Nothobranchius furzeri: one gene and its partners. The protein of the gene in region 3 interacts with the protein of the main gene of each other region in a pairwise test. Links are inferred from orthologs where the notes say so. Each region holds a gene or a part of one and is shown on either strand. Other genes may lie near its edges.

What was found.
Region 1: the proteins of lmo2 (region 3) and intraflagellar transport protein 43 homolog interact in binary tests that used the Homo sapiens proteins (3 or more experiments, as listed by UniProt). The two-hybrid records come from large-scale screens. The link is inferred for Nothobranchius furzeri from reciprocal best matches to the Homo sapiens genes LMO2 and IFT43.
Region 2: the proteins of lmo2 (region 3) and hnrnpm interact in binary tests that used the Homo sapiens proteins (3 or more experiments, as listed by UniProt). The link is inferred for Nothobranchius furzeri from reciprocal best matches to the Homo sapiens genes LMO2 and HNRNPM.

Annotation. Positions count from the first base shown.
Region 1 is NC_091758.1:32,622,484-32,625,138, forward strand, and holds the end of intraflagellar transport protein 43 homolog, read left to right. Parts: intron 1-434; coding exon 435-507; intron 508-1,139; coding exon 1,140-1,215; intron 1,216-1,351; coding exon 1,352-1,414; intron 1,415-1,653; coding exon 1,654-1,767; 3' UTR 1,768-2,052; downstream 2,053-2,655. UniProt on the Homo sapiens protein: As a component of IFT complex A (IFT-A), a complex required for retrograde ciliary transport and entry into cilia of G protein-coupled receptors (GPCRs), it is involved in ciliogenesis.
Region 2 is NC_091748.1:58,534,056-58,537,156, forward strand, and holds the end of hnrnpm (heterogeneous nuclear ribonucleoprotein M), read right to left. Parts: intron 2,708-3,101; coding exon 2,603-2,707; intron 2,532-2,602; coding exon 2,466-2,531; intron 2,378-2,465; coding exon 2,309-2,377; intron 2,215-2,308; coding exon 2,113-2,214; intron 2,009-2,112; coding exon 1,434-2,008; intron 1,344-1,433; coding exon 1,292-1,343; intron 1,035-1,291; coding exon 871-1,034; 3' UTR 626-870; downstream 1-625. Other genes in the region: timm44 (mitochondrial import inner membrane translocase subunit TIM44), read right to left, coding at 1-35, 350-382. UniProt on the Homo sapiens protein: Pre-mRNA binding protein in vivo, binds avidly to poly(G) and poly(U) RNA homopolymers in vitro. Involved in splicing.
Region 3 is NC_091744.1:61,983,647-61,987,308, reverse strand, and holds the start of lmo2 (rhombotin-2), read right to left. Parts: upstream 2,875-3,662; 5' UTR 2,729-2,874; coding exon 2,688-2,728; intron 1-2,687. UniProt on the Homo sapiens protein: Acts with TAL1/SCL to regulate red blood cell development. Also acts with LDB1 to maintain erythroid precursors in an immature state.

The DNA of each region.
Region 1 (2,655 bases), on a different chromosome or scaffold from region 3:
CCCGCAAGCAAATACTCTTGCATGCGGCTCGATGCAGCCCCAGTTGGAGTGGCAGAGTAGACACAGAGGTCGGCCTGCCGGCCACCGTGGGTCCTCTGGGTGGGCCGTGCTGACAGGGCCCAAATGCTAAGGTAGCAGGGGGTGCTTTCTGGGGAGCCCCTGGCCAGCGCCCCTTCTCACAGCAGGATGAGCTGCCGCTTTGCCTCTTGAATATTCATGGCCGCATGTCTATGACAGGGCAGCTCTTACGAGGATGTCAGCAGCAAGAGGGAGGGAAGGAAGTGCCACGCTGATATGGTCACAGTTTCACACACCATGCACAAGAGATGAACTGTATTTACATTTTCTCGTATGGCTAGAGAATATACTTATTATTCTTGTTATTTAGTACTTCTCAATACTTTTCAGCTGATGGTGTTTGTTTTGTGCTTTAGACATTCCAGTGATTCCAGACCTAGATGAAGTCCAGGAAGAAGATCTAACGATGCAAGTGGCTGTTCCACCAAGGTAGTGAAGTCATTCAAATCAGTCCTTATTACATATGCGCTCAGTCCCTCCAATCATGTGAGTGACAGTTAACCTCTGACCTCGAACAGGACTCGGGATCAGCATCCTGCTCTGGTGACATTGATGTTACCCGTCCTCCGATCACGCCGCTGCACTGTGCCTTCCTTTATGTGACTGAAATGGAGAAATAACAGTTGGATGTGATTTATGCGACTCCATTCCCAGAATCTGCACCGAGCTGGCTCTTTGATTTACAGGGTAGTGAGGGACACACCGACATGTGTCGACTATGTAGCAAGGCTATGACAGTGGTGGAGGTTATTAGGCTGGGGCTTGCACTCTGTGCGAGATAATATCCACATTGAACTCATTGCAGGGGCAATGTAGCGTGTAATGTGCAGTAAGTAGGACTGGCATGCACTGCTAGGCCCCGGCCACTTTGAGAACCCCCCCTACTTAATTCCAACCCGCAGATAAGCAGCTGGGTTTCAATTTGAGGCGTTTAACTCTTGGCAACCATCTCCTGCTCTCTGTGGTCTTTGCTTGAAGTCTAAGAACCCACTGGTGCACAAACTTTCGCAGATCGTAAATATGAAAGTGTTCATTCTGTTTGTGATGTTTGTCTCTTTTAGCATCCAGGTAAACCGGGTGATGACCTACAGAGATCTGGACAGTGATTTGAAGCATTTCTCTGCTTTCCAGACCTTAGTAAGTCGAGGACATTTATTTTTATACATCTGTACCCCCTTTCTCATCTTTTCCTCAAGGTGGTCTGTTCAGTTCTCTGACCAGTATCACCTCAGTTTGTGCAAGCTAAGGGAATTTCCCTGCAATCTTTCTGCAGGATGGAGAGATTGACTTGAAGCTCCTCACCAAGGTTTTAGCACCGGAGCAGGAGGTGAGGGAGGTGAGTAAGTTCTTAGTATATATAGCTTGTGAGCTTCCAGTGCAAGTCTGCCCAGCTGTTTCGACAGCACCAGGGGAGGCTGCCACTCTTGTCTCCCAGGTAATCAAGATTTATGATGTGTACATTAACACCCTCTGCTCTTCTCCCCCCATTCTCCTTGTCTCTGCTCTCTGTCTCGGTATATATCCGTCCCTAATTCTTCTTTTCTCCCTCTGTTCCGTGACTATTTTTCTCTGCAGGATGATGCGAGCTGGGACTGGGATCATCTGTTTACTGAAGTGTCCTCAGAGCTCCAGATGGAATGGGATCAAGGAGAGGATAAGGAGTCGGAGTTGGGACAAAAGGGTCAATGACTCTGGTTATTTAAAATTGAGTTAAATAATATTTTACTTTTATAAATGCATTTTTACACAATTCTCTCTGTACAGAACCTTCATGTTGTCTTTTGAACACTCAGTTGCTTTGAGTGTTTTAACCTAGCCCTAACCCTCTGAACAAATGACATATAGGTAAAATGCCCTCCTTGTACTTGCAACATTATCAACGTCCACCTACAAGTCCAAGGGTGATAATCAGCTAAGCTGAAATCCAGTTGATTGTCTTCAAATTAACATTCTTCATTAAACCCTACAACCTTATTGTTATTGACCGTGCCATTGACTTTATCTTGCAGTCCTTCGATAGGAGCAACCCCTTCTTCACTATTATCTCAAACGCACTGAACAAAGTTTCTATTGACACCTGGGGGATTAGCATACATTATAAGTCTGGACAGCTGCCGCACTTCATAAAGTAAAGAGCCAATTCCTAATGAACAAGAGTATTTTTTTATTTATGTTTAAAACAGAACATTGGCTGCAATTTTCTGTAATTATATACACCATTATTACATTGTTTGTCCTAGTGTCAACAGCGGTATCAGCATTCCGGTTTGTCTTTGGTTCATGTGTGTGAATATAAATGCAGGCCTCCAACGTCCAGCCAGGTCTATTAGGGAAACAGCTGTAACATTTACAGATTGTGATTAGGTTTATTTCTCAGGCCCAGATCAGTCTCATGGTATTTGGTGATGCACAGCAAAGTCCTCAAGGACACACAGCCTACGCATCGAACCGCTCAATCTCTGCCCATCACAAATAGATCCAGATTGTTTTATTTTTTTTCAGTTGGTGAGCCTTGAATCAACTTCATCAAGCGTAATACCTCAGGATGAAGCGATCACTTGGGATATTTGTGCTCAG
Region 2 (3,101 bases), on a different chromosome or scaffold from region 3:
GAGGGAGAAGTCACCAAGCCTTTTCTTAAACACATCTGGACATGGACGGACACACACACAAAGATATTAATGTAGACAACTACTTCCGAACCGAATACAATGACATTCCCACATTTCGGGAAATCTTGGACAGAATACACGACAGTATTGATGTCAGACAAGTGGAAACCTTTTGAGCACACAATACTTGGTCCAAATAGGATTAAAATACCGCATTTGAGCTAACGTAGCTAATGCTAGCAGGGCAGAAAATGACTTTTAAACAATGGCAAACTAACTTATATAGGTTCCACCATCAGTTGTTTCATGTTTTTAAATAATACACTGTAAAAACACCTCAAGGGCTCACCTGATAACACCGACATAAGGGGACCGCCATCATGAATGCCGTAGAGACCTTCTTCCGGTTCTGACCTTTCACTTCCGGGACGATGAAGCGTCAAGCAACTCGTCTTTTGAGATGAATCGTTTATATATGCCATTATTTTAACACGTATTAAAAACGTCTGTATAAAAAATATACAATTTATAGTTTAATTGTACTTAAATGTTTTCTTCTTCACTATTCCACTTCGAATTTTTATTTAAACGTAAAACTCAATCTGTAAAAACACAAGTCAGAAGATTTTTTATGTTGAGATTTATTTATCAAACCATCTCAAAACACAAAGTAACAGAAAAAAACTGAACTGTGATTAAAAGTTTGGCCTCTAAAATGTAAATACCAATCTAAGAAATAACTAAAAACATCCACTGATACAAATTTCTAACTAAAATAGCATCTACTGAATAGATTTCACTGAAATGCAGTTTTGATCATGCAGTGTTTAGATAAGACCAAATCAACTGGCAAATACAACACAAATACAATTATGCATTTCTATCAATCCTAACATCAATCTCTCTCCCATTCAGACGATAGCCGTTCATGGTCCGGCAGGCTCGCTCAGCAGTTTCAGGGTTGTCAAAACGTACCACACCACAACCCTTGGATTTGCCATTTTCCATCTTTATATCAGCATACTGGACCATACCTGCATAGATTCCGAGAAGACATGTCTCAACAGAAAAGCACCAACATGAAATTTTACATTTTCTGCTCAGTTAGCTTGTTTAGATCTTGCTCTTTGAATAAACCTTATTTTAAAGTTATGAGCTGCAGTCTAATGTTTCAAGGACTGAGGTTTTCTTTAATCAAAACAAGGTCAAGCTGGATAATGCATTAGCTTCCTTACAGTAGATCAGAAACCAAGCATTCTTTTATTTCTGAGAAAACAAAAGCCATACTTACCACATGTATTGAAGGTATCCTTCAGCATCTTCCAGGTGAAGTCAAATGGCAACTGGAAAACAAAATCCAAGTTTGAAAATAAAACAAAGCTAAACTTCTGGGATGAACCAAGCCCAACTTAAATTGAAGGAAACAAACTCACATTTCTAACAAAGATTTGACATCCCTTTCTGATGTTGCCTCCCCCGATTCCAGGTCCTCCAGCTCCTCCAAAGGAATTCCCACCAAATCCACGATCTAAATCACCGGAGCGATCAAACTGCCCACCAACACCTCCAGATCCGATCCGGTCCATGGCAGAGCCCATGCGGTCAAGGCCACCAGAAGGAAAGCGGTCAAGTCCTCCAGAAGACGCCATGCGATCAAAGCTGCTCCCCATTCTGTCAAGTCCAGTGTTGCCCATGCGATCCATGCTCATCTGGGAGCCAAAGTCCATGCTGGTACTTATACGATCCAAATTAGATGGGCCCAGACGATCAAACCCACCAGGACCAAGGCGATCCATGTTAGAACCCATGCGGTCTACACCTGGTCCAAGCCTGTCCATGGTGGGCCCAAGCCGGTCCATGCCAGAGCCAGCACGATCAAACCCAGATCCCAGCCTGTCCAGGTCAGACCCACGATCAATCCTGTCCGCACCCATACGGTCCATTCCTCCAATGTTGCCTCCTAGGCGATCCCCTCCAGTGTTCATTCGATCCATCCCAAGGGTATTTCCTATAAGCATAAACAAACAAACAAAAACAAGAACACAGTGTGACTAAATTGATTGAACAGACATTTAGTAGGGGCCGTCATACACAAAATACTGGAGTACTGACCCATTCCTCTATCAAACGAATCTCCAAAATTATTGCGAGACATTCCCATTTCATTTCGCCCAAAGTCTCTGTCAAAAGCACCACCAACCCCACGGTCCATATCTAACAAAAAAGATAAATCCATCAGAAACATCCACCAAATCAATGAGGTCATTGCTGGCTTTGTGGTTTTTTAAGTGAGTCTACCTCTACCTACCATTTACCCGTCCCATCCCAGAAGAGCCAAAACGATCCATGCTGTTCATTCCGCCAAAGTTATCCATACCTAAAAACAACACAGGTCTTAGTACTTCAGGAAGTACAGAAGGTATTTGTAAATAAAAAATAGTTAAGTATTTAATAATCAGACTTACCAGCTCCTCCACCTCCTCCGCCTCCCATTCGACCTCCCATGTTGTTAAATCCCATTCCATCCATTCCTGAAATTGAGATCACTGATTGAGTACTAGTGTTTATATTTAAGGGTCAACAGAAAACTTGAGTTGATTACCTCCTGGGCCCACGTTTCCCATCCCTCCACTTCCCCTATTGAGCATTTGTGTGTCAATAGGCTGACCACCCGGTCCAAGTCCCAAACCAACACCACTTAGACCTCCTAGTTATGGGGAAACACACACAATATCAGAAAACTTAGCAATGTATATCATTAAAAGTCAGGTTTGCTAAGTCATTAAAATAAATTATGCTAATTAACTCATTCACTTCCATCGACTACTAAAGTGGACATTTTAAATCCAACTTCTCGCTGCCATTCACAACTTAAGTTGTCAATTTTATTTTATTTTTTAAACGGTGCAGACTTGGGAACACGCTTGCGCATCTGGAGTAAACATGACGCCCCTAAAGTTGATTTTCACCCGTGTGTCACACGTCATGTGATCATGAAGCAGACAATCGTTTTGAGATTCCGCTATGCCTAAAGCGAGGCGCAAACCGGAAAATCTGCTGCAGCTCGCACTTCAACAACGGATTGTGAAAGAAAAAAAAAG
Region 3 (3,662 bases):
ACAGAAAAAGCCACGCCAAAATAAGTTTAGGAAGCCCACTAAGAATCGTAATAAAAGCATTTAAAATAAATACCATACACAGTTGAGGACACGTTGTTTAAGTACCTGATATGAAGCGGTCGCTGCATAAGCGAAAACCTTTACTCTCGGGATCCCACAGCTTCATTTTATCCCGGTCACTAACGTGTTTTATTACAATGATCCAACGTTTGCGGCGCTCCGGAACTTGGGGAATCCTGTAGATGACTCATTCCTTATGTCGTCCGCGTCTGTTCTGCATCCTGGGGCACAACAGGAATCTACCATATTTCCCGTTTGATTGAATTTTCTGACAATAACAAATAGTCCAGCTGCCGGCTTCTGCATGCCAATATGGCGCCGTTTCGATTTGAACTGTTGCATGCCGGGAGATGTGACGTCAACTCCCGGAGCTCTATGGGACTGTGAAAAGCTGTAATTTGACATAACTTGGGCTGTCTCACACTACCCAACAGGGCACTCCTCCTCCCCCTCACTGCTCTGCCACACATTTCTGTCTGTGCACCCCCCACTCCCACGCTCAAATAAACTGCAGCACACTTTCCAGTCTGCAGTGTTTGCTTGGAACCCCATGACAATCTTGCAGCACCACTGGTCCTGAGTTAGTAAAGGATGTAAGATATGACTCATACACACCTATCAGGAATATTGTTTAGGAATTTTCTTTAAAAAAATGAAAAATAATATGTTGCTACTACTAAAAATGTGAAAAGGATTCTTGAAACACTTGATCGGATCAAACAACGAAGATGTTTTTCCAGAACTTTTGAAACATTTATTTTAAAATATGCAAGTAATATTTAATATTTCTTTTCTATCTTTTAACAGTTGATCTTCAGCCGGAAAAAGGTAAATGCCTTCTCCAGGTCAGGGACAAGGTCCTGCTTAAAGTGGAGGAGTTTACATGTCTCAGGGTCTTGTTCATGAGTGAGGGAAAGATGGAGGACAAGATCAATAGGTGGACTGGTGCTGCGTCTGCTGTGACGTGGGCGTTGTACTGGTCTGTTGTGGTGAAGAGAGAGCTGAGCCGGAAGCTGAGCGTCTCAATTTACCGGTCAATCTATGTTCCAACCCTCACCTATGGTCACTAGCTCTGGGTATGAGATTGTGAATACATGCAGCCGAATTTAGTTTTCTCTGCAGGGTGTCTTTAGAGATGGGGTGAGCAGCTCGGTCATCCAGGAGGGGCTTGGAGTAGATCCGCTGCTTCTCTACATCAAGAGGATCCAGTTGATGTGGCTCAGGCATCTAGTTAGGATGCCTCCTGGACACCTCCCTGGTGAGGCTTTCTGGGTAAATCCAACTACAAGACAGGAAGACCCAAGACACGCTGGAGGGACTATGTTTCTCGTCTGGCCAGGAAACACCTTGGGCTTCCTCATGAAGAGCTGGCCCAAATGGCAGGAGAAAGGGAAGTCTGGGACTTTCTAGTTGGGCTGCTACCCCCCATGACCTGACCCAAGATAAGCAGACAAAAATGAATGGATTTTTGATCTTGGCTTATTGTAGAAAAGCCCTCAAAGTCTTGCATTTTGGGAAAACATTCCCTTTGTTACGCTTATTTTGTAGTTGGCCGGAAGTCTGCTCCAGAAGTCCAGCTAGAGATAGAGATAAAATGGCTTTAGGTTCATATCTCTCGAGGTTTACGTAGCTCTAGTTTGTGTCCCGGGTTCCTCTCTGCGATATGTTGCTGCCTGGGGGATAGCACCGGGACATGGTCGAGTGTGTGCGTGGATGAACAGTAAGTGCAATGTTGGACTGATTATGGCTATCGAGTTAATTATTATGCATTTCCTGTCCCTGTGAAAACGCTGTTGATATACCTTCCCTCGGGACCGATCGGCGCTGGTCTGCTGGTGTCGTACGAGGAGGCATGAATGTGCTTTGTATGAGTATACGGGAATGTAGAGAAGTACAGCGGTGTTGTTACAGTGCGGGAATGGGAGTTGGTTCAGAGTATCTGAGCTAAGCTAACCCGCCACCGGAAGTACCCAGTCGGGAAAATAAAAGCACTCTTTTGTTTACAGACCGGAAGTTGACCGACGACGTCAAGGTTAACTTGACAAACCTTAATATAGTGGCTTTATGTGAGCAGATGATGATGATTTAGTGACCTCTGACTGTTTAGTATGGTTATTAACTGATGATGTGGTGGCGGAAGGTTAATATTCTGATGTGTGTTAATTGTTTAATAAGGTTAAGTTATACATACGTCATATTTGTCATTCTGCAGGAAAACCACACCCATGAGCTATCATGTCTATCAACTGCTATCCTGATTTACTTGTCCTAACCTATGGGCTATAATAAAGAAGCCAGGCGCACAACTACAATTATGACTCATCTTCTTTATATTCTGAGGGGCTTTAAGTAATGCTCTGGCCAGCATTCCCAGTGTAAAGCGAGTTTCAACCTTGGTCCAACGCCTTTACAGTGTGCCTTAATACACTTATGTTACAACTCCTGTTCCCATTATGGCTGCAACATCTGACTCTAAACATGTAGTTTAGTTTAGTTTTACCTTACATCCGTTTCTTTAATTTTTCCTTAAATTTTCTTTATGAATATTATAAGCAGAAACATCTGATCTCATCGTCTTGCACGTGGGATAGTTTTCTGATAGAATGTGTTTATTTTAGTTGACTTACTCGTTTGCTTCCAGTGTTTTCCTCTCTATGGTAGAAGTCATTCTCGAGCCTGATCTGGATACTGGAAGGCGCGCTGCACCTGCACCCCTGGTAAAAACCACTTTCAGATCGCTGGAAATAAAAAGCGAACTCAAGAAGCAGCTCCCTTGTTTCCAACAGATGCAGAACAAGAACAGCTCCCTCTCTAATCAGCTAGACGCCGATGGAGGAGGACGCTGTCATCATTTCCTGAGGCAGCAACACTTCCATGCCTTGCAGGTCCCACAGCGACTAGAAGAACCGCGCCAGTGCGGTTCGATAAGGAGGGTTCTGCGGGGAGGAAGTAGTGCGTGTCCGAGTGGCCAGCAGCTGCAGCAGCAGCGCGTTTAAATACATTGGGGCCCTTCGGGCTTTGCTTTCGCTTCTCTCTTCCTGTTTCAGCGCTTCACAATGAGGGGAAACGGGTCTTAAAGCGACAGCAGAGCTGCTGGTCTGTGAGTCGTGCAGAGGGTCGTGATGGTCGTGACTGACTAATGAGTCCATCTGCTGCAGGAGCTGAGCTGATAAAAACACCTGCTGGTAGTTTTATCTGCCCATCATGTCTTCCTTTGCTTTGTCTGTAATTAATGCAAGTAAAACATCTAAACTGTTCATGTCAAAGGCAAATAAAAATATATTCTTATGTTTTGTTCTAGAATATGTGGCCTGCTGTTTTGCAAATAAATGAATAAAGAAAATTTAGAATCATCTCAAATTGAGCTTGTGCTGCATTTTTGTGCCACATTCCTCAACATTAAACAGATGTGCTGAATTTCTGCTTTAAATAAGGAAATGTAATGTTCAAATTTAAATAATGTGCACACCTCGTACATTTACGCAGACGCTGTGAAGAGGAACATTACCCTTCAAAGATAATGTGTGAAATTTAAAGTTCTGATTTTTACATTTTTCTCTTCAGAAATTTGCCAGCAAAGCTTAACGAGTCTAGAATGACTA